Macaca fascicularis: one gene and its partners. The protein of the gene in region 1 purifies or fractionates together with the protein of each later gene. This does not show direct contact. Links are inferred from orthologs where the notes say so. Each region holds a gene or a part of one and is shown in the gene's direction. Other genes may lie near its edges.

Region 1 (5,876 bases):
CCATCATGTTTGTGAGATTCACATTGTTTCATATGACTGTAATTTGTAAATTTGTGTTGCTTTATAGTATCCCATTGTTGATTGTTAGTGTTATTGCTGTCTAGTACAACATAATTCACTCAAGTGTCCTACTGTTGATGGACACTTGGGCTGTTTCCAGCTTTTTGTTATAGCTAAGAACATTCTTGTAATGTCTCTGGATACACTTGAGCAAGATTTTCTCTAGGGTAGGTACTACTTTCCAAAGCTAGGTGTTCTAGTTTACATTCTTACCAGCAGTATATCAGAATTCCCAGTAGCCTACAAACACTTGCTACTGTCAGAGTTCCTAGATTTTTTGTTTAAGATGGAGTTTTGCTATTGTTGCCCAGACTGGAGTACAATGGCGTGATCTTGGCTCACTGCAGCCTCCGCCTCCGGGTTCAAGCAATTCTCCTGCCTCAGCCTCCCAAGTAGCTGGGATTACAGGCTTGCGACATGAATGGTTAGTATTTTTTAGTAGAGACAGGGCTTCACCATGTTGGTTAGGCTGGTCTCGAACTCCTGACTTCAAGTGATCCACCTGTCTTGGCCTCCCAAAGTGCTAGGATTACTGGGGTGAGCCAGTGTGCCCAGCCGTATTTTTTTTTTTTTTTTTTTTTTTTTTTTGAGATGGAGTCTTACTCTGTGGCCAGGTTGCTGGACTGCAGTGGCACAATCTCCACTCACTGTAACCTGTAACTTCCGCCTTCCCAGTTCAAGCAATTCTCCTGCCTCCGCCTTCCCAGTAGCTGGGATCACAGGCGCTCGTCACCACTCTTGGCTTATTTATTTATTTATTTATTTATTTATTTATTGAGACGGAGTCTCGCTCTGTAGCCCATCTGGGCCCACTGCAACCTCCGCCTCCCGCCTCCCAGGTTCACACCATTCTCCTGCCTCAGCCTCTGGAGTAGGTGGGACTACAGGCCCCCGCCACCATGCCTGGCTAATTTTTTTTTTTTTTTTGTATTTTTAGTAGAGACAGGGTTTCACCGTGTTAGCCAGTATGGTCTGGATCTCCTGACCTCGTGATCTGCCCGCCTCGGCTTCCCAAAGTGCTGGGATTACAGCCATGAGCCACCGCGCCCGGCCGTTTTTATTTTTATTTTTATTTGTATTTTTAGTGGAGCCGGAGCCTCATCGTGTTGGCCAGGCTTGTTTCAAACTCCTGACCTCAAGTCGGGAGTCAGGAGGTCAGGTGATCCGCCTGCCTCATCCTTCCAAAACGCTGGGATTACAGGCGTGAGCCACCACCACGCCTGGCCAGAGTTCCTAATTTTTGCCAATCTAGTGGGTGTGGCTTAAAAACCAGTCAATTGAAACTAATCATGGTTTTAATGCATTTCCCTGATTTGTAATGCGCTTGCTCACCTTACATGTTTGTTGCCTCTCTGGATTTTGTCATTTCCAAAGCACCTGTTCAGTAATTTTATCCATTTTTCGATTGGGTTGTCTGTTTACATCCTATATATTCTGGATAATTGCCTTTGTCAATCATATGTGTAACAAATTTCTCCCACTCTGTGGCTTTTTTCTCTCTTATGATGTATTTTTTTTTCCCACTTTTCAGTCGTAAGATGATATCACTTTTAAGTTCAGTCATATACTTGGCATTTTGGGTTCATCATGGAGTTTGTTCATCACGGAGTTTTGAAGGTCAGATTATTTTTGTCCTAACCCAGTCAAATCAATTGCTTCTCGTTAGTTTTTTCTATCATATATTCCCATCCATAGGTCCTGAAGATATTCTAGAACGTTATTTCCTACAAGTTCCGGGTTTCCTGCTCGCATTCCGGTCTCTAAGCCGCCGTGTATGTGGCTGGAAGGATCGCTCCATGACCACGTACGCTGGCGACGCCTCTTCCGGCTTACCTCAGGGGCGGGTATGGCGGACCTGTTCTTTTATCAGAAAGATCTATATTTTGCTAATAAAGGAACGTTTTGTGTCCAATAAGGTTTTCGTCATTACGAGTGAAAACGCCACCTTAAGCTTATTTCGCCTGTGAATATTTAAGGGAAAAAAAAAACACCCCGGCAACCAACTGCCAGGCGACGGAGGCTAAACCGCTCCTCCCCACTGAGGCCAGCACCCACCTTTTCCCGAAGTCGCAACACGCAGGCGCGCCCGGCTCGCACGCCACGAACGGAAGTGCGCCTGCGCCAGGATACGCCCCGCCCAGCCACTGCCCGACTATAAAGTGTCGAGCTTCTCCTCGCGAGAGACTTCGTGCTCATGCTCGCTGCAGGGGTCGGAGGTCAGGGCGAGCGTCTAGCGGGCCGTAGGAGGAAGATGGCGGTGGAGTCGCGCGTTACCCAGGAGGAAATTAAGAAGGAGCCAGAGAAGCCAATCGACCGCGAGAAGGTGAAGGTCCCCTCCGCTTTGGGGTCCGGGAAGAGATTGGGGGTGGGCCCGGCAGGGTGCAGAGGCGCGGCCTGTGTGCGGGAGGAGACGGTGTTTTTGGTATCCGGACGGCTCGGAGGCCGCAACGCCTCGGGAAGAGAGGTGAGGTCCGGGCTCGCAGCTGGTGTCTTTAACTTCTGCCGTTCCGTTTTTCTCTCGCCCTCAGACATGCCCACTGTTGCTGCGGGTCTTCACCACCAATAACGGCCGCCACCACCGAATGGACGAGTTCTCCCGGGGAAATGTACCGTCCAGCGAGTTGCAGATCTACACTTGGTGAGGAGGGCGGGGGCGGGCTCGGACCCGGGCCGGGAACCTGGAACAACAGTTAATTGCCTTTGCCAGTGTAGAGAGTTATTCTCCTTGATTTAAATTTCATTCCTCCACTTGGGGTCTTCAGGCTCAACTTTCGGGAAGTTAGAAGTTTTTGTTGTTAGGTGAAAGGAGATTTGCCTTTATTGTAACGCTTTTGTGATTAATGTTGCAACTTTTGGGCGGTTAAGAATGCACAGACCCAAGATTTAGCACTGTTATGGCTGCTAGGTACAAAAGTGATAGGTAGATGATTAAGTTGTAGTATCCGCCCTAAAGGGACTCATGGTCAAATAAATTGCACTAGGACAGCATGGTAAGGGAGAGTGATGCTGTCGAGTGGTGTTTGTTATTCTCAAAGAGCATTTCCACGTAATATTAAGCCTTAGGTACCAAAGCACCAAAAGTGAAAAATAAACTACCAAAACCCGAGTTATTATCTAAGGGTTGATGGAAGAGCTTTTGGTGTGTGTTTAGTGAAGATGGTTCCTGAGTGTTCATCTCTTGGGTGTATCTCCCTACAAACTACTGCCGGCTTGTCTTTAGCGCTGCACATAACTCCTTGGATTGACACCATAATGGGTTTTTAATATAAGTAAAAGGTGTGTAACTGAAAAATATATGTATATGCTATATATATATGTGTGTGTGTGTATATATATATATATTTTCAGACGGAGTCTTGCTCTCGCCCAGGCTGGAGTGCAGTGGCGCCATCTCCGCTCACTGCAGGCTCCGCCTCCCGTGTTCACGCCATTCTCCTGCCTCAGCCTCCCCAGTAGGTGGGATTACAGGTGCCCACCACCACGCCTGGCTAATTTTTGTATTTTTAGTAGAGATGAGGTTTCACCATATTGACCAGGCTGGTCTCGAACTCCTGAACTCAGGTTGTCTGCCTGCCTCGGCCTCCCAAAGTGCTGGGATTACAGGTGTGTGAGCTACCGCGCCTGGCTTAAAATAAATTTTTTATTGCGATAAAAAGTTATATAACAAGCCATGCACGGTGGCTCATGCCTGCAATCCCAGCACTTTGGGAAACTGAGGCTGGCGGATCACTTTAGGTCAGGAGTTTGAGACCAGTCTGGTCGGCATAATGAAACCCTGTGTCTACTAAAAATGCAAAAATTAGCCTTGTGTGGTGGCATAGAATTGTAATCGCAGCTACTTGGGAGACTGAGGCAGGAGGATCACTTGAACTTGGGAAGTGGAGGTTGCAGTGAGCTGAGGTCGCGCCACTGTACTCCAGCCTGGGCGACAGAGCGAGATTCCGTCTCAAAATACATATGTGTGTGCATATGTAACAAAATTTGCCATGTTAACCATTTCTTATTTCTTGAGTCTCACTCTGTCGCCCAGGCTGGAGTGCAGTGGCGCCCATCTCGGCTCACTGCAACCTCTGCCTCCCGGGTTCAAGGGATTCTCATGCCTCAGCCTCCCCAGTAGTTGGGATTACAGGCGCCCACCGCCACACCTGGCTAATTTTTGTATTTCTAGTAGAGACAGGGTTTCACCATGTTGGCCAGGCTGGTCTGGAACTCCTGACTTCAAGCGATCCGCCCGCCTCGGCCTCCCAAAGTGGTGTAGGATTACAGGCGTGAGCCAGCGTGCATGGTCATTAACTGTTTTTAAGTGTATAATTTGTTGGCATTAATAGCATTCAAATTGTTGTGCAACCACTATTTCTACAAGTTTTTATCCCTCCCTCCAACAGAAAGCCTGTACGCCATCCTGCCTTGTTTTAATTTTTAAAGAGATGGAGTCTTGCACTGTTTTCCAAGCTGGATTTGAGCTCCTTGGCTCAACCAGCTGGGACTACAGGCACACACCACCATGCCCAGTGTGCTGGTAACCTTTTAAGGACACACCGTGCCTATTAAAAAATAATTTCCCATTCCTCCCCCGCCCCATCCCCTGGTAGCTTCTAATGTATTATCTGTCTATATATGAATTTGTCTATTCTGGATATTTCATTTCAGTGAACTCGTTACAGTGTTTGTCATTTTGTGACTGGCTTATTTCATGGTGTTTTCGGGGTTGATGTTGTAGCATCCATTCAGCCTTGTCAAGACTGAATAATATTTCATTGTATGTGTGCATCACATGTACTCATCTATTGATGGACACTTGGATTGTTTCATCTTTTTTGCCATTGTGAATAATGCTGCTGTGAACATTGGCATACAAATGTGTTTGTGTCCCTGCTTTCAGTTATTTTGGGTATGTACCTAGGAGTGGATTACTGGGTCATATGTTAATTTTGTTTAAGTTTTGAGGAACCATCAAACTTTTTCACAGCAGTTGCACTATTTTATATTCCCCAGAATGTGTATAATTTAAAACTGTTTAAGCCCTGTACACTAGAGCTAATCCCTTGAATATCGGGACCTTACTTATCTTATTTGGAAGTGCTTGTTAAATTTATGTAGTAGTATGATACTTGTATTTAAGCATCACTCAAGGGTAAGTGTTCCAGGAAGTTTGATTTAGCTTATATGGAAGAACTGTTGAATAATGACTTCATGAAAATCTCTTTTCAGAAATTGAAGTGTGTTTCTTCCAACAAATAAGAGTTCCTATTTGCCGGGTGCTGTGTGTGCTTAGATTCTGAGGGTATAAAGTCAAGAAGGTACTGCTCCTCCCTGTAGTCCTTTTATCAGGGAAAGCGGATGAATAGAGTGATTTTTAGGGTTAAGATGGCAGGGTGAGGTTGTTCCACAGACCACCTCCTCTGAATCAAGAAAAAAAAATTACAAAAAAAATCCTGTCCTGAACTACCTGTCCATAAATTGCAACCAAACAAAGAAGGAACCACCTTAAGTTATATCTCAAAATGGTGGCCAGAGATTCTGAGACTGGATGATTGGTAATGGGGGTAATGCAAAGGCCTGCCCTCACTCCCAGAAATAGTAATGAGGGAAAATTAGTTAACATATGTTGGAAATTCTCAATAGAAGTAGACTGTGAGGTTAAAGTAGGCAGCCCCAAGACAAGCTATGGAAAAAGGAGTGGGATTCCAGAGGAGCCCAGTGGAGGCAGGCTGTGCCCCCCAAAGTCAGTCATGGCTCAGCCAGAAAAACAGAATTGGGAGAGATGTGTTAAGAGATTTATTTCTGCTGGGCATGGTGGCTCACACCTGTAATCC
Region 2 (6,139 bases), on another chromosome or scaffold:
CAGGGAAGCAGAGGTTGCACTGAGCTGAGATCACGCCATTGCACTCCAGCCTGGGTGACAGAGGGCAACTCTGTCTCAAAAAAAAAAAAAATATATATATATATATACACACACACACACACACACACACCCCCCTATATATATACTTGAAGGATGGTCTGAAGGATAGGCAATCTATCCCTCCCTTGACAATTTTCAGAAGTTCTTTTCCCTTTTGGGATCTATGGACTCCTTTAAGAAGTTGATTAAAATTTCAAATCCTCTTCCCAGAAAAAAGTACGCACATGCATATAATTTTGTACATGCATACATGCATATAATTTTGGAAAACATTACAGAAAGCTCAAGGATTACCAAAGGTCATCTGTGGATATACTGAGGATCTTCAGGCACAAGAGCAAGCATCCCTGCTCATTTCAAATTGAATATGTATTTTGGGGTCACCGAGAGACATTTGTAAAATACATTTCATCAGCTTTTAGAATTAAGAAAACATGTCCTTCTCCTGAATGACCTATTTATTTTTATCCCAAAGGCACTTTGGATTTTGAATACGCAATACTGGTGTACCCTTCTTTACCGCGACTTCTGCGAAGACTAAAGTAAAATTTGCAGTCTATCTCAACAAATTCAACAGGCTTTCACTGCAGGCATTTTGTATAGTAATTTATGCTTATTTCATTTAATCCACCCCTTATTTTCCCATTCCTCTAGTTTTTTTGTGTGTGTGTGTGAGATGGAGTCTTGTTCTGTCGCCCAGGCTGGAGTGCAGTGGCATGATCTCCGATCACTACAGCCTCCACCTCCTAAGGGTTCAAGAGATTGTCCTGTCTCACCCTTCCGAGTAGCTGGGATTACAGGCATGGGCCACCATGCCCGGCTAATGTTTTGTATTTTTAGAAGAGACGGGTTTCGACATGTTGGTCTCAAACTCCTTACCTCAGGTGATCCGCCCGCCTCGGCCTCCCAAAGTGCTGGGATTACAGGAGTGAGCCACCACGCCCAGCCTCATCTACTTTTAATAATGTTTTATGGTATCTCTGTAAGTTGCCTCACATCCTTGCGGAGAGGGACTGCTGTAAATAACATGAAGAACATTATCCCTGAAATTCAGGGTGTAGATCTGTTATCGCAAATTTATGACTGCAGGATTTGATTTTGTTGTTGTTTCCCCCTCCTTTTTTTTTTTTTTTTTTTTTTTAGGAGGAGTCTTACTCTGTAGCCCAGGCTGCAGCGCAATGGCGCGATCTCGGCTCACTGCAACCTCCACCTCCAGGGTTCTAGCGATTCTCCTGCCTCAGCCTCCCGAGTAGGCTGGATTACAGGCGCCCGCCACCAAGCCCGGCTAATTTTTTTTTTTTCAGTAGAGACGGGATTTCACCATGTTGGCCAGGCTGGTCTCGAACTCCTGACCTCAAGTGATCTGCCGCCTCTACCTCCCAAAGTGCTGGCGTGAGCCACCGCGCCCAGCCTGATTTTAATTTGAATTCATTAGCGACGTTTAAAAATCCCAGGATTTCACATAAAAATCCAGATTGCAGACGTCGAAAAAAAATGTAAAATGTTATCTCCCAATGTCGCAGGCAAATAAGATCACAGTCCTGAATAGCAACCGCGGTCTCTAGTGGATACGGCTCTCATCCATTTCGGTCCATTTTATTACCTGGGAGGACCGGTATTTTCAATTTCAGTAACTTTTAGAGGAAACTTTTGAAAAAAGGACTGCACACACGCACCTTTTCTTCCTTCTCGTTCTTTAAAAGGAAACAACAGAAACAATTCATTCTGCAGGCAATCTGCGCTAGTCCCACGGATAGGCGATTAACAAGAGATAAAGAGGTGTGGGTACCAGAAGCAGTACTGTTACCCCTTCTGGTTGGCGGGTACCACGTTGAAAGGTCGGGGTACGGGCCCACTGCGACTAGCACAAAGAGTGCTGAACTGAGCTATGCAAAGTTCTGACGAGAAGGTGGAATGGTTCTTAATGAAAAGGATTAAGGAATCTAAACCGGTTTCGCTAAATTAGACACATCTGTCTAAGCAGCCACAGCTTGTTCGCAGCAGGGGCGGGAAGACAAACCAACGCCCCAGCTCTCTATTCAGTCACCGGCAACTCAGCTCTGGACCAGACGCACTCTACGAAGATACCCGGGTTTCCGGAGCAACGGCCCGAGCCCTCCCCCTTTAGCCCCGCCTCCGAGTCTCTTTCCCGCCAAAGGCCGTTATCGCCGCAGAGCATGGTGGGACAAGGCTTTAGGCTAGGTTTCACCAAGTCCTTTGAAGGCGCCGAGTTGCTTTCAAAGCTCCTCATTCCTGGGGAAATTGACTATCCTTCAAGACTCGACCTGGATGACTAGCTCCTTTAACGAGAGTTCTTTATTTAACTTTTACCAAACGGCTGCTCACTCTATTCGCAAACCACCCCAAGCGGGGAACGCGGGGGACTTTTTTTCCCCCTTCGTGCGGAGGGTGACGTCGCGCGTGCGTGCGCGTGCGTTGCGCGTATCCCTCGCAGCACCCGTTGCGCTCCCGCGCGTGCGTGTTGGGATCGAATCGCTGTTTCCTTCCGCTTCTCTTCCTCTGTCTCCCCCCCATATCCGTGCGCCGAGCTGATAAAGGCGCCATTTTGGAGGGGCCGCGGGAGACGTGGTGCCGCTGCGGGCTCGCTCTGCGGTGCGCTAGGCTTGGTGGGAAGGCCTGTTCTCGAGTCCGCGCTTTTCGTCACCGCCATGTCGGGAGGTGGTGTGATTCGTGGCCCCGCAGGGAACAACGATTGCCGCATCTACGTGGGTAACTTACCTCCAGACATCCGAACCAAGGACATTGAGGACGTGTTCTACAAATACGGCGCTATCCGCGACATCGACCTCAAGAATCGCCGCGGGGGACCGCCCTTCGCCTTCGTTGAGTTCGAGGACCCGCGGTGAGGCGGCATGGGGCTTGCAGCCTTGAGGAAATAGGTCCGAGTAGTCGGGGAAGGCTCCAAGGCCTTAACATAGAGAACGGGGAAGCGGGGGCTCTTAGAGAGGTTGGGGCGAGACTGTATCGCCCATGCAGGAGTCGAGTAAGGAGCTGAGTTGGTGTGGCTTCTCTGGCGCCTCGCCTTGGACGTCCCCGGAGCCCATTCGCAGGCTGGAGCGGGAAACTGAGGCGCTGAGGGCTGGTGTAGTGGTTGGGAGCCTGGCGTGTTTCTGGGTGGGGGAGGGGCCATTCCTATTATGCGGCGCATGTGGGCTCTTCCACGTTGGGTGCGCATGTGCGGGGGGTTCCCGACTGAGCGAGCTTCTCCTCCTGGTCTTTCTCATGCCTTTTACTTTCTGCGATCCCGCAGAGACGCGGAAGACGCGGTGTATGGTCGCGACGGCTATGATTACGATGGGTACCGTCTGCGGGTGGAGTTTCCTCGAAGCGGCCGTGGAACAGGCCGAGGCGGCGGCGGGGGTGGAGGTGGCGGAGCTCCCCGAGGTCGCTATGGCCCCCCATCCAGGCGGTCTGAAAACAGAGTGGTTGTCTCTGGTGAGTGTACTTTGTTGTGTGGATTGATGTGAAGGGACGGAAGCTACCTAAAATTTTTGTCTTGCATGATCGGTTTAACAATTGCAAATTTTTCATGCTAGGTGTTAAATTGCTTTAGTTTTTGGGTGAATTTAATAAACGAGGATTGCTGCTGTGGTGATTTACCAAATTAGGTTGCGGTACTAGATACGAAGATCCGTTACAAATAATTTTGGACTCTGGATCCCAGAATCTTACCAGCTCTTTACCTGGTATCACTTAAGTACACCTATTAAGTATTTTAAAGTACTCTTTGTTCTAATGTATCTTACCAGCTTAACGTGAAATTTAAGATAATTGATACTAAGAAAAAAAATCACTTTTTCAGGACTGCCTCCAAGTGGAAGTTGGCAGGATTTAAAGGATCACATGCGTGAAGCAGGTGATGTATGTTATGCTGATGTTTACCGAGATGGCACTGGTGTCGTGGAGTTTGTACGGAAAGAAGATATGACCTATGCAGTTCGAAAACTGGATAACACTAAGTTTAGATCTCATGAGGTAGGTTATACGCTTATTCTTTTCTTTGACCAGAATTGGATACAGTGGTCTTAACAGTGGAATTTGAAGGTAAGAATTCAGGCAAGGGTGTCCAAGTAAATTGCCAGATTTCTGGTTGTAGTTGCATTGTATGCATTCAGCATGCCTGAAGATAGATGAAAGCTTAGATCTTTCAATGGAAAGTTCTGTCTATCCAATAGGGAGAAACTGCCTACATCCGGGTTAAAGTTGATGGGCCCAGAAGTCCAAGTTATGGAAGATCTCGATCTCGAAGCCGTAGTCGTAGCAGAAGCCGTAGCAGAAGCAACAGCAGGAGTCGCAGTTACTCCCCAAGGAGAAGCAGAGGATCACCACGCTATTCTCCCCGTCATAGCAGATCTCGCTCTCGTACATAAGATGATTGGTGACACTTTTTGTAGAACCCATGTTGTATACAGTTTTCCTTTATTCAGTACAATCTTTTCATTTTTTAATTCAAACTGTTTTGTTCAGAATGGGCTAAAGTGTTGAATTGCATTCTTGTAATATCCCCTTGCTCCTAACATCTACATTCCCCTCGTGTCTTCGATAAATTGTATTTTAAGTGATGTCATAGACAGGATTGTTTAAATTTAGTTAACTCCATACTCTTCAGACTGTGATATTGTGTAAATGTCTATTCTGCCCTGGTTTGTGTGAACTGGGATGTTGGGGGTGTTTGTGGTTATCTTACCTGGGGAAGTTCTTATGTTTATCTTGCTTTTCATGTGTCTTTCTGTAGACATATCTGAAGAGATGGATTAAGAATGCTTTGGATTAAGGATTGTGGAGCACATTTCAATCATTTTAGGATTGTCAAAAGGAGGATTGAGGAGGATCAGATCAATAATGGAGGCAATGGTATGACTCCAAGTGCTATTGTCACAGATGAAATTGGCAGTATTGACCTTATACTAAAAGGCAGGGGTTAAAAATGATTATATACGTTTTCCTTAAAACACTTGCAAACATTTTATTCAGTTATCTTTAGCTACAATTGCTTTGCTCTTTAAACCTTGGCAATTGTGGCAAAATTATATTGCCCATTTTGTAGCAACTTATTTTGCTCCCTTCCCCCCATTTTTGTTTTAATAGGGACTAATGTGGGAAGAACTGGCTAATTTGTCACAGTGCTTAGTTACAACTGTTAATGTGTGACCTGCTGTTGGTGTACATGTGGGTACAGGGTGTCTTTAAATCCAACAAGATAGAGTATAATATCAATACTGCTAAATCTGCATGTCCTCTGTGTGACTGATAGAGCGTTGCTATTTCATTTTTTTAAGACAAAATGAAAGCAAAATATAGAGTTCCAATGTATTGGTGTAGATAATCTAGTTGGGAATACTTTTAAGTCTCACCTTCCCCTTTAAACTAATATTCATAATTGATTCATATGTTTAAAAGACTTTAATTTACAAATTAAATTGCAAATGGGAGCATTAGATATAGTTTTAGACTTAGGTGGGTAGCAATGCCAGTAAACTTAAATTACGTAACTTCTTGCAACCACGAAACCTGTAATACGCTGTACAGTAACAAGTGTTGGCATTATCAGTTGAACTGTAAATACAAAATGCTTCTTCCAATTAGTCTCTATGATGATTAAGTTTCTAAAATTTATCTGAACACCATTCAGAAACTTGTTTTGGGGAATTTGATAGTTATTGATGTGCATCTGTTAAACTGATGACAGACATAACTCATCATTCCCCAGAAACCTTTTTTGATTACAGTATCTAACATTTTGCCTCCTCTTTTTTGGTTTTGCTGGTTATAAAGGTTTGGATTGGAGAGGGCTCACTGGATCCCAATCCTTGGAGCTGGATCATTGGATTCAAATCATAATGTGGATAGGATAGGGAGGATGAATTACCAGGATTCATGGAGCGGGATCAGATTACCAGGAACATAGGAGTGGATTCCTGCCCCAACCAAACCGCATTCGTGTGGATTTTTTTATTCAACTTAATTGGCTATTCCAAAGATTTTTTTTTTTCCTATTTTTGACGATTGGAGCCCTTAAGATGCACGATGGAATTGTGTTTTGCGTTTTTTGGTAAAA
Region 3 (6,105 bases), on another chromosome or scaffold:
GCCGGATCCTCCTGAAGCCCTTTTTGCAGCACTGCTATCCTCCAAAGCCATTGTAAATGTGTGTACAGTGTGTATAAAGCTGCTTCTTCTTTCTTTTTTTTTTAAACTGAGGATTGTCATTAAACACAGTTGTTTTCTACCTGCCTGCTTGGTCTCTTTTTGTGAATGTTCAGCTAAGATGGGGAGGCCTGGCCGCTGTTCAGCCCTGTCCTGGGAGCCAGGGTCAAAGTCCGCCAACCTTGGGGCTGGGCACAGTGCTCAGGGCTCCTTCTGCTCCATTTCTACATCACATTTTGTTATAGTGACTTCTTAACTGGCTCCCCACTTTCCTACTTGTCCCCTCTGTTCATCCTCCAGGGTGGTGGTCATTTTATCTGCTCATGCCACAGTCCAGCCTTCCATACATAGCTGTGGTTTCTGCATCCATAGGCTTAACTAACCTCAGGTAGGGAAAAAAATGTTTAAAAAAAGGATGCAAGGCCGGGCGTGGTGGCTCACACCCGTAATCCCAGCATTTTGGGAGGCCAAGGCGGGTGGATCACGAAGTCAGGAGATCGAGACCATCCTGGCTAACATGATGAAACTCCATCTCTACTAAAAATATAAAAAATTAGGTGGGCATGGTGGTGTGCACCTGTAGTCCCAGCTACTTGGGAGGCTGAGATAGGAGAATGGCGTGAACCCGGAAGGCAGAGCTTGCAGTGAGCCGAGACTGCGCCACTGCACTCCAGCCTGGGTGACAGAGTGAGACTCCATCTCAAAAAAATAAAAAATAAAAAAAGGATACGGCTGGGCGCAGTGGCTCGTGCCTGTAATCCCAGTTCCTTGGGAGGCTGAGGTGGGTGGATCACCTGAGGTCAGGAGTTCAAGACCAGTCTGGCCAACATGGTGAAACTCCATTCTACTAAAAATACAAAAATTAGCTGGGTGTGGTGGCAGGAGCCTGTAATCCCAGCTACTTGGGAGGCTGAGGCAGGAGAATCACTTAAACATGGGAGATGGAAGTTACAGTGAGCCGAGATAGTGCCATTGCACTCCAGCCTGAGTGATAAGAGCAAAACTCCATCTCAAAAAATAAATAAATAAATAAATAAATAAATAAATAAAGGATGGTTACCTCCGTACTGAACATGTATGGACTTTTTTCCTTGTCGTTGTTCCCTAACAATATAGTATAACAACTATTTATATATCATTTGCATTGTATTAGGTAGTATAAGGAATCTAGAGGTGATTTAAGGTATACAGGAAAATGTGTGTAGGTTATATGCAAGTATGACACCATTTTATATAATGGACTTGAGCATCTATGGACTTTATTATCTGCAGGGGGTCCTGGAACCAATTCCCATGGATACTGAGGGATTACTGTACTTTGGTTTCCCACCACTGTGAGGATACTGAACAAAGCAACTTCAGTCACTGCCCTTCCCAACTCTCCAGTGTCTCCTTGCCCTACCTTCCAGCCCCATGTGTGTTTTTGTAATAGCATTTATCATAGTTGCATTTTTTTTTTTTTTTTTTTTTTGTAAAAGAGACAGGGTCTCCCTTTGTTGCCCAGGCTGCAGTGCAGTGGTGCAATCAGCTCACTATAACCTTGAACTCCTGGGCTTAAGGGATCTTTCCCACTCCACTTCCCAAGTAGCTGGGGCTACAGGTGCACACCACCATGCTACACCCAGCTTATTTATTTTAAAATTTTTGTAGAGACAGGGTCTTGCTGTCTTGTCCAGTCTGGTCTCAAACTCCTGGCTTCAAGTGATCCTCCCTGCTTTGGCCTCCTAAAGAGTTGGGATTATAGGCATGAGCCACTGAGCCCAGCCACAGCTGCAATTTCATTAGACTGAACCGTATGAAATCATCAGTAGTGGGCCACTGTTTTACTCCCTGCATTATTCAATCAGTTACATGATTGCTTTGAGACTTTCATTAGTTTCACTAGCTTCAGGCTGTAAGAGCCAAGAGGCAGAGCGGAAGGACTGGGCTGCCTGGTTTCGCTCCCCACCATAGGGCTGGGTTAAGCAGAGTGTGAAGCTAAGAGGGGAATGGAGAAGGTGGAAGGTGTCCCTCCCTTCCAACTCTCGCTCATCTGACGCACCAGCCAAACCAAATACCACCTGGGCCTTTGAACATTGCCAAGCCTCATCTGCTGTTGTCATTTTGCCCACCTCCACAACTGCAGGGACAGCCATAGGCCCGGAACTGGGATATCTGTTCCTAGGGGCCTGCCTATCTGCTCAGCTGCACTGCGTTTTAGGGGTGGGGAAGCTAAGACAGGAGCCTGGGGTCCCAAAGCATGCCAAGACCACTCAGGCTTCCAGATACTAGGTCCTCCTCCTTCAGGTCTCACTTCATTTCTTTTCCCCTGGGCCAGTTCCAGTCCTGGCTGTAAGACTTGGAAAGCCACTGCTTGACTCAGGACCTCAGTGGCTATTTTTGTCCGTGAGAAGTCCTCTACACCACGACTTGGGAAGCAGCCTGGGAGAAAGAGAAATTAGTCGTGGCTCCTTTAAGGGGTCCGCGGAGGCGCGCCCGGCCTTTTGTTTGAGCGGCGGCGCGCGCGTCAGCGTCAACGCCAGCGCCTGCGCACTGAGGGCGGCCTGGTCGTCGTCTGCGGCGGCGGCTGCGGCTGAGGAGCCCGGCTGAGGCGCCAGTACCCGGCCCGGTCCACATTTTGCCTTCCGGCTTCGGTTTCCCTCGGCCCGGCACGCCCCGGCCCCGCCCCAGCCCTCCCGATCTCTCGCAGCCCGGCTCCAGCCGCCCGCCTCTGCCGCCGCAATGATGATGATGGCGCTGAGCAAGACCTTCGGGCAGAAGCCCGTGAAGTTCCAGCTGGAGGACGACGGCGAGTTCTACATGATCGGCTCCGAGGTAGCCCGCGGCGCGTCCTCGCCCTCCCCGGGCTCGGCCCCGCGGGAGCCCTGGGGCAGGCCCATGCGCCGAGAGCGCGCGTCTCCATTCATCGGGGCGGGCGGGCGCGCGCGCGCTCGGGGCTGCAGGGCGTGGCCTAGTGGGCGTGTCGGGCATGGCCCCCGCCCCCTCATCGACCTGGGATTTCCTTACCCATTTCGCCGAGGTGCGCGATCTGTAGTGCTACCAGGATTTTGGCGCCGAGAGGGTCCCCAGTGGTTCCGCGCTGGGTTGGTTTCCAGCCAGACGCAAATTAACGAGATATTGAGTTAGCTCCTGCGATGCTTGGGGGACCGCACTGCTGCCTTTGACCCTTTTTAGATGTTGTAAATTTCACATGCGCCCCTCCTCCTATTGCTACTTGTGGGAACCTGAAATGGCAGACTGGAAACCCCGGACTTAGTGAGGGCTCATCCCCATTGTGTTTGTTGCCTCTAAGGTGGGCAGTGGAGGTGTTTTGACCTTTTTACCAGTGAAGAAACAGACTGGAGGGTGTTTGCTTTTGGGTGAATAAGGGCCCCATGCCTAAGCCAGATCTTTCAGCAATTCTGAAGCAATTGACACTTTTTCCATATCTGTGAACTGATTCTGAATTGTTACAGCGGAAAGAGCCTAAAAATGTTTAACCCTTAACTAGAGAGGCTGCATTTTGTTGCATCAACTGGATGACTGACTTTAGGAAAACCCTACAACTGGCCTTTAATGGGTGTTTGTTCCCAGTATATTAGGTTCTTGTTTTTCGTTTTTTATAGAGACGGGGTCTTGCTATGTTGCCCAGGGTGGTGTCCAACTCCTGGGCTCAAGCAGTCTGCCTGCCTGGGTCTCCCAAAGTGCTGGGATTACAGGCATGAGCCACCACGCCCGGCCATATATTAGGTTTTTCCAGATTGTCTCAAACTAGCCTTTTTTGCTCCAAAGGCAGTCCCCAGCTAGTATATGTTACCTTTTTAAAAAAATTATGGATATGCAGTTCAGATGTACAAATGTCAAGCAGTGGAGTCTCATGTAAGGAAGTAAGTGCCAATCCTGGAGAATTAAAGCTGTCATGAAATGCAATGAGTTTCTTCTCCTTGTAGCAGTTTTTAGTATCATATTCCAGCATTGTATTCATGCTTTATTTTGTTTTATTTTTATTTTTGAAAAAAGGTCTCACTTTGTTATCCAGGCTTTGGTGCAGTCGTGTGATCGCAGCTCACTGCAGCCTTGACCTCCTGGGCTCAAGCGATCCTCTTGCCTCAGCCTCCCAAGTAGCTGGGACTAGAGGTTTTGCACCACCATGCCCGACTAATTTTTGTATTTTTTGTAGAGACGGGGTTTTGCCATGTTACCCAGGCTGGTCTTGAATTCCTGGGCTCAAGTGATCCTTGCACCTCAGCCTCTGAAAGTACTGGAATTACAGGTGTGAGCCACCACACTCACACTCAGTGCATTCATACTTTTTAAACTTGTGGGGTTTTTTTTCTTTCACAATTGAGCATAGCATGAATGAATGAAGCCTCAAGATGGTCACACTGAGTCCCATGGATTGAGACTAAGGTCAATAGCATCAGAACTTTAGTGTTAGCATTTTCCACCCTTTTTTTTTTTTTTTTTTTTTTTTCCGGACAAGGTCTGACTCTATCACCCAGGCTGGAGTGTAGTGGTGCAGTCTTGGCTCACTGCAACCTCTGCCTCCCAGGCGCAGGCCCTCCTCCCACCTCAGTCTCCCAAGTAGCTGGGACTACAGGCTCACACCACCACACCCGGCTAATTTTTGTATTTTTAGTAAAGATGGGGTTTTACCATATTGTCCAGGCTGGTCTTAAACTTGTGAGCTCAAGTGATCTGGCTGCTTCAGCCTCCCAAAGTGCTGGGATTATAGGCATGAGCCACTGTGCCTGACCTCCATCAATTTTTGTAAAACAAAAAATGCAGGATGCAATAAAATTTTCACGTTGTCACTTAAACTACAACTGTTCAAAGATGTCAGTGCTGGGGAGGTGGAGCCAGTGCCTGTCCATCTGCCACAGTTCAGAATGGTCCTCATTGGCTGGTAGGCACCTGCCTAACTGCAGAATGCAAAAGGCTGTTGAATTTTAATACTAGGCAAATTGTTTACCTGATCTAATGGGTGTAAAAGTAATCAGTTTGGAGGGGAGAGGGGAGGGATTGCATTGGGAGTTATACCTCATGTAAATGAGGAGTTGATGGGTGCAGCACACCAACATGGCACAAGTATACATATGTAACAAACCTGCACGTTGTGCACATGTACCCTAGAACTTAAAGTATAATAATTTAAAAAAAAGTAATCAGTTTGGCTCTGAGTGGGTGACACTTCAAAAGAAAGCTTTCATTTATTAGTTGGAGCAAATTGAGAAGCTGGGCGTGGCCAAGTGGGAAGAACCTTGGGAGGCCTGGTTCCAGCCCTGCTCTGCCTTGGTGTCACGTTTCTCACGTGTATAATGTGAATGCTTAGACTAGATGGTCTCCAAGATCTTCCCCAAAACACATTGTAGTTTTTAGAAAGCTAATTACAGTCTTGTCTTTCAGCCGGTTCACTCCTGGGCCTCCCAGTAAGAATGATCTTCCTGAGACCCAGCCTGTAAGAGACTCAGATGGACAGGCAGTTTGTTTTTTTGGACCTGACTTAATCAGCAGAGCTTCAGAGTTTAGGGAAGGGTTCAAGGTCAGAGGTCTATTGAAATTCAGTAGCTCCAGTGACAGTGGTGGATGGATGGTCCCAGCACACTGCCCTGTGGAAAACAGGCACTGTATTCAGAGAGGTGGGCCAGCCAGAGCAACATCCTCAGTGCCTCCATGTGCCATCTGTGATGCTGTCTTGGGAGGGCATCTGCATTTACTATGAGTGTGTGTCACTGTTCTGCCATTAACAGATAGCTGTATTTACCAAACCAGAGTCACGAAGCTTTGAGGACCGTAACAGATCCCCAATCCAGCACCTTCATTTTATATTCAGGAAACCTGGGTCCCAAGACGGTGAAGGCTGGTTCAGAGAAAAGCCAGGAAGGCCAGCCCAGTTTCCTAAGTTCTGAAGGGGCTTTGGGGGGCATCTAGGAGTCTCAGAGCCCTGCAGGGCCTGCAAGATAGTCATAGTGGGGAGTATTGTCAATTTCTTTTAAAAAACCGAATGGAAACTGTACATTTACCATGATACTGGATGATACTGACACACAAGCCAAATAACACAGAGGG
Region 4 (6,000 bases), on another chromosome or scaffold:
GGAGGATCGCTTGAGCTCCTGGGCTGGGGCTGGGGTGTAGGGTCCTTGGTAAGGCTTCTGAATAAAACTAATTCTTTAAAAGCTTAACTGTATTTCTTTAGTCAACAAGGTATTTGACATTCTTCTCCTACACTGTCATTGAAGTCTGTGTGTATTTTACAACAAAGCCCTAGAGCACCGCCTGGCAAACAGTGTGAGGCATTGAACCATCCTTTGTAGAGTGAAGAAGGTATCAGAACTTACAATACTTAGTATTTTGGTTACGTGACACCAGCAACCTTACAAGGAATGTTTCTCGGGTCAATTATCTGTCATGGATAAATTCTGGTGCCAGAATGAGATTTGCTCTTGGAGAAGGCTGCATTTACTTGTTCACCCTTGAAATACTGCAATCCACCAATTTCTTGATAAAAGGGTGCTCTGGTTTTTTGTTTTTGAGATGCAGTCTCCATCACCCAGGCTGGAGTGCAGTGGCACAATCTCAGCTCACTGCAACCTCCACCTCCGGAGTTCAGGAGATTCTCCTGCCTTGGCCTCCAGAGTAGCTGGGACTACAAGCATCCGCCACCACGGGCAGTCAAGTTTTGTATTTTTTTTTAGTAGAGATGGGGTTTCACCATTTTGGCCAGGCTGGTCTCGAACTCCTAGACTCGTGATCCACCTGCCTCTGTCTCCCAAAGTGCTGGGATTACCGGTGTGAGCCACTGGGCCTGGCCAGGATGCTCTGGTTTTAACTAAAATTAACCTTCATAAAAGGAGAGCTTTCAAGCACTCCTGGAAAGAAGCCGTGGATTAAAGATGTGCCCAGCCATGTAAGCCAGATTTGTGATCATAAGCACAGGGCCGGACTCACGCCTGTAATCCCAGCACTTTAGGAGGCCGAGGTGGGCAGATCATGAGGTCAGGAGTTCAAGACCAGCCTGACCAACATGAGGAAACTCCATCTCTACTAAAAATACAAAAATTAGCTGGGTGTAGTGGCGCGAGGCTGAGGCAGGAGAACGGCATGAACCTGGGGGGCGGAGCTTGCAGTGAGCCTAGGTCACGACACTGCACTCTAGCCTGGGTGACAGAGCAAGACTCCGTCCAAAAAAAAAATGACACAGCTGGTGCTCGTGGAAATTTTTACTTTTCCCACAGTTAAAAACATGATTCTCAACAGCGTGAACTGCCCTTCAAAGATGATGGAGCTGCTTCAAAGTGCATTAGAGGAGCTGGGTATGTAGAAGCACTTCAAGTGTCAGATAAGAAAGTGGTTAGGACTGTGCGTAGCAGCGGCACCTGTGGTCCCAGGTACTCTGGAGGCTGAGGCGGGAGGATCGCCTGGGCTTGGGAGGTGGAGGCTGCAGTGAACGGAGATCGTGCCATAGCACTCCAACCTGGGCGACAGAGCCAGGCTCTGTCTCAAAACAAATGAACTAAAAGCAGGTTAAGATGCGCAACTGGTTACCGTTCTGCTGGGCAATTACATGATCCCGTCTGGGTTATCTTTGCTGCAGGACACGCATTATTAACACCGTCTAGACAGGAGGCTTTCATTAAGAGTAAATTGCAGGCTCTGCGTGTATTTTACTTTATAACAGCTGCTTGCCGGGCACAGTGGCTCATGTCTGTAATCCCAGCACCTTGGGAGGCCAGGGCGGGCGGATCACCTGAGGTTCAGGAGTTCAAGACCAGCTTGGACAACCCTAACCCCCACCCTTCCCCCAACACCGTCTCTACAAAAAATTTAAAAAAATTAGTCGGACATCATGGCGCGCGCCTGAGGTCCCAGCTACTCTAGAGGCGGAGGCAACAGTGAGCCCTGATCCCACCGCCGCACTCCAGCCTGGGCGACAAAGAGAGACCCTGTCTCCAACTGACCAGGCAAACGGCGAAAACACACACAGGCGCGTCCCCAAAGACACCGGCATTAGAGGCCCTGGCCCTCCCCAGCGCAGACCCGCCCGAGCCCAGCGCCGCGCCGGCGCCCACCACCGGGGGCCGTGAGGGTTTCCACCCGAATCTCCCCGGCGAGCTGGGCGCCCCCACTACGGGTCCGCGACGCAGTCCACCCAATGCGGGCCCGAGAGAGGACCCGTGTTCGTCCTCTTCATTCGAGGCGGGGCTGTGTGGCGACGCCACCCGGACTGGAGGCCCCTGGCGGCCCCCAGCCTGTTGTCAGGGGATTCAGGGCCGCACGCCGCTCAAAGAGCCTTAGCGTCCCAAACTGCCGCAACCGCCACAAAACGCCACCAACTCTGGAAATCCACCCGCTTCCGTACCTTTTATAAGGAACTGGGTGCCCCGCCCTCAACGAGATCCCGCGAGAACTGCATATGGCGCGAGAGCAGAAACATCTTACTTTTTCCTGCGGCAAACGCCCAGTTCCCTTTCAAGTGACGAAGAGTGCCCCGCCCCAGAGGCGGGGTCGCCTCGCGCGCACGTACGCACGCACATACGCACGTACGCACGTCTTACGCTTTCTCACGCTAAGGCGTCAGTTCTCGGCCCCGGCAGCGAGAAGAGTCGGGAGGTGGTTTACGCTGTGGCGCGCGCTGTGCTCTTCCGCGGACTCTAAATCATGGCGACCACGGCCACGATGGCGACCTCGGGCTCGGCGCGAAAGCGTCTGCTCAAAGAGGAAGACATGACCAAAGTGGAATTCGAGACCAGCGAGGAGGTGGATGTGACCCCCACGTTCGACACCATGGGCCTGCGGGAGGACCTACTGCGGGGCATCTACGCTTACGGTGAGTGGGCGCGGGCCGCGGGGGCCAGCTGGCGGCGAGCCGGGGGCTGAGAGCCCGACTGGTGACTCCCGGGCCGGCCCTGCACTCCGGAGGTCGTGGTCAGGGTCGAGGCTCGGGGGCCAGTGACGTGCGCCCCCCCCCCCACCCCTGCCCTCACGCCTGGCTGTGTCGGCGCGTTCGCTGTGTGTCCCCTGTGCAGAGCTCGGCGCTGGGTCCGTCGGGGGCTACAGCCGCTTCGAGGCACCTCGGAGTCGTTCATTCAGCAGATAACTGTTTTGTACCTACTAACTTTTCTAGTTACTGGGGTTTTGGCGGTAAACCAGATGGGTTTGCGCCTTTACGGGTTTTGAATTTCCTTTGGGGGGACAGCATGCGGTCAGATTGCCCAGGCAGTGGTTGTTGCTGGGAAGAACCCGAAGCTAGGTAATTGAATAGAGTGGGCCTGGGAAGGAGGAGATAATTAGTAAAGCAGAGAGGTAAGGGGGTTCGCAGGAGGGGTTGCCATTTGAGCAGAGGTATGGATGAAGGAGACTTTTAGGAGAGGAGGGAAGAGCAGTTGGGGCAGAAGGAACAGCTGGTGCCAGGGCTTTGCAGCCCTTAGCCAGCTGCATTCCAGGAACTGAAAGAAGTCCCCTGTGGTGGGATTTTGGAGAGCTAGTCAGGGGCCAGATTTAGCAAAGACGTGTAGGGGTGACGAATAATTTGAATTTCATTTGGAAATCTAGTGGGAAGCCACTGGAATGTAGTAAGTAGCTATGTGACACGATCACATTTACAGCTTTAAAGATTCTTCTGGGTGTCTGTGAATTTCAGGTGAGGCGAGGCAGGGCAGGAGAGGAAACAGAAGAGTTGGGAAGCTTTTGCTCCAGTTAAGGGAAGAGAGGATTGTGCTGCCTTGGAGATGGAGTGCCAGGGAACTGACAGCATTGGCTGATGGATTGACTGTGAGTGACAGGAGGAGGAGGGTTGGTGTTTTGAGTAACCAGTGGTTGATGCTGCAAACATGTGGCTAGGTAGGCAGCACTCCAGAGAGTCAGAATCAGGAGTTGTCTCTTGGTATGTTTGAAAGATCTGTGGAAGTTGAGAGAGAGCCTGGAGAAGAGATTGGGTTGGGCACATAGATGGGAATGGCCAGCATCTGGGGTAAATGGCCTGTGTTTAATGCTTGGGACAGGGACATTTTTTATCCTGTAGTTCTCTTTTCTTTCTTTCTGACAGTCCTGCTCTGTCACCAAGGCTGGACTGTAGTGGCATGATCTCGGCTCACTGCAACTTCTGCCTCTGGGGCTCAAGCGATTCCTTTGCCTCAGCCTCCCAAGTAGCCGACCACCATGCCCTACTAGTTTTTGTATTTTTAGTAGGGATGGGATTTTGCCATCTTGCCCAGGCTGGTCTTGAACTCCTGACCTCAGTGGTCTGCCAGCCTCAGCCTCCCAAAGTGATGGGATTACAGGTGTGAGCCACCCCACCTGATCTTATCCTGTAATTCTTGATGCCACAACAGTTTGGACAAAGTGAGGCGAAGGTGCTGAGGATGGGTGGTGAGAAAGCATCTCAGCCAGCCTTCCAGCGAGGCTGACAGCCCCACCTGGTTTCCTGGCACTCAGGCGGTCCCTGCCCTAAGACACTGTTGTTAGTTTCCCATCCATGTGCTTGCTCTTCCTGAAGAGTTTAAATCATCTGCTATATTTGCTTTTGTGTTAAGATGGGAAATTGTGCTACATTTTCTTTTGTTTCTCATTTTTCGCTATGCCCCAGAACTGAACAGAGCTACATTTAAGAGACTACCAAAAAATAACTGAACTAGAGTTTTGTACATAAAGTTTTATTTACTTACTTGAAAAACACATGGTTCTTCTTCAAAATAGCCTCCCCCTTTGGTGTAGTAGTTGCTTTGCAGGAGAGATGGTATGGTAGTTAGTGAGCTGCATCCAGACAGGAGAACAGCGTAGGACACCCCACAGTGTGACCCAAGCAGGTTAAATAGAATTGTAGACCTGTCAGCAACACACAGACTTAATGCTAGCTAGGAGGAGAGAAGAATGGCTACAGTGACTTTCCTGGTTTTTTTTGTTTTTGTTTTTAATTTAAAAAGTAGTATAGGCCGGGCGCGGTGGCTCAAGCCTGTAATCCCAGCACTTTGGGAGGCCGAGACGGGCGGATCACGAGGTCAGGAGATCGAGACCATCCTGGCTAACACGGTGAAACCCCGTCTCTACTAAAAAAATACAAAAAACTAGCCGGGCGCGGTGGCGGGCGCCTGTAGTCCCAACTACTCGGGAGGCTGAGGCAGGAGAATGGCGTGAACCCGGGAGGCGGAGCTTGCAGTGAGCTGAGATCCGGCCACTGCACTCCAGCCTGGGCGGCAGAGCGAGACTCCGTCTCAAAAAAAAAAAAAAAAAAAAAAGTAGTATAGGTTGTTTGTAATCCAGTCAAACCTAAGGAAGTAATTAGAGTAAAAAGTTAGCTGCTTTTCACCCCTCTACTGCAGTAACTGCCAGGAACATTTTGGCACTTATACTTCCAGATGCTGCACACCCAGAAGATTATCATTATTATTTTTCTGTATTCTACAATTTGGTGGTTTTTTTAAAATAGAGATTTGTCTTTACAAATAATATCTCATGTTAGTTTAGAAATCCACTTAGTCCGATTCATTGAGCCCCTGGGTTTTGAGAGCTTGCTATGTTGAACACTGGGTTAGGCGGGAGGACAGGTTCAAACAGCAAACCACGTCTGCCCCTGAGGAGCTCACAGTACAGGGTTTCTGTGCTGTCATTGTAGCGAGAGCTATTTTTTTGTTTTTATTTGCAGGTTTTGAAAAACCATCAGCAATCCAGCAACGAGCAATCAAGCAGATCATCAAAGGGAGAGATGTCATCGCGCAGTAAGTTGTCCTGGGGTGCGGCGCGGGGCTGGATGCAAATTTGGGCAGCGCAGTGCAGTTAGATGCTCTGGGATGACTGTTTCCCTCAGCTTCTACACACTCAGTACCAACACGTGCCCTGACTTTAGCCACAGGGTTTAATAATTTTTAAATTTCTGTTCTCTACTATAGAAAGCTTTCATTTTCTTTTTGAGATGGAGTCTCGCTCTGTCGCCCAGGCTGGAGCGCAGTGGCACCATCTCGGCTCACTGCAACCTTTGCCTCTCTGTTTCAAGCGATTCTCCTGCCTCACCCTCCCAAGTAGCTGGGATTATAGGCGCCCGCCACCATGCCTGGCTACTTTTCGTATTTTTAGTAGAGATGGGGTTTCACCATGTTGGT

Evidence for each region. Proteins that work in one complex are often made in the same cells at the same time.
Region 2: the proteins of SAP18 (region 1) and SRSF1 purify together in Homo sapiens (co-immunoprecipitation; 4 studies listed by BioGRID and IntAct, with this or other methods). This does not show direct contact. The link is inferred for Macaca fascicularis from reciprocal best matches to the Homo sapiens genes SAP18 and SRSF1.
Region 3: the proteins of SAP18 (region 1) and SMARCB1 fractionate together in Homo sapiens (co-fractionation; 3 studies listed by BioGRID, with this or other methods). This does not show direct contact. The link is inferred for Macaca fascicularis from reciprocal best matches to the Homo sapiens genes SAP18 and SMARCB1.
Region 4: the proteins of SAP18 (region 1) and EIF4A3 fractionate together in Homo sapiens (co-fractionation; 3 studies listed by BioGRID and IntAct, with this or other methods). This does not show direct contact. The link is inferred for Macaca fascicularis from reciprocal best matches to the Homo sapiens genes SAP18 and EIF4A3.

The regions. Positions count from the first base shown.
Region 1 is NC_088391.1:793,027-798,902, reverse strand, and holds the start of SAP18 (histone deacetylase complex subunit SAP18), read left to right. Parts: upstream 1-2,242; 5' UTR 2,243-2,254; coding exon 2,255-2,383; intron 2,384-2,588; coding exon 2,589-2,698; intron 2,699-5,876. UniProt on the Homo sapiens protein: Component of the SIN3-repressing complex. Enhances the ability of SIN3-HDAC1-mediated transcriptional repression. When tethered to the promoter, it can direct the formation of a repressive complex to core histone proteins.
Region 2 is NC_088390.1:48,704,926-48,711,064, forward strand, and holds the start of SRSF1 (serine/arginine-rich splicing factor 1), read left to right. Parts: upstream 1-2,620; 5' UTR 2,621-2,729; coding exon 2,730-2,923; intron 2,924-3,331; coding exon 3,332-3,516; intron 3,517-3,883; coding exon 3,884-4,056; intron 4,057-4,256; coding exon 4,257-4,443; intron 4,444-4,816; coding exon 4,817-4,839; coding exon of another isoform or gene 4,840-4,855; 3' UTR 4,856-6,139. UniProt on the Homo sapiens protein: Plays a role in preventing exon skipping, ensuring the accuracy of splicing and regulating alternative splicing.
Region 3 is NC_088384.1:28,069,198-28,075,302, forward strand, and holds the start of SMARCB1 (SWI/SNF-related matrix-associated actin-dependent regulator of chromatin subfamily B member 1), read left to right. Parts: upstream 1-2,586; 5' UTR 2,587-2,778; coding exon 2,779-2,871; intron 2,872-6,105.
Region 4 is NC_088390.1:86,552,961-86,558,960, reverse strand, and holds the start of EIF4A3 (eukaryotic initiation factor 4A-III), read left to right. Parts: upstream 1-2,481; 5' UTR 2,482-2,563; coding exon 2,564-2,732; intron 2,733-5,546; coding exon 5,547-5,619; intron 5,620-6,000. UniProt on the Homo sapiens protein: ATP-dependent RNA helicase. Involved in pre-mRNA splicing as component of the spliceosome. Core component of the splicing-dependent multiprotein exon junction complex (EJC) deposited at splice junctions on mRNAs.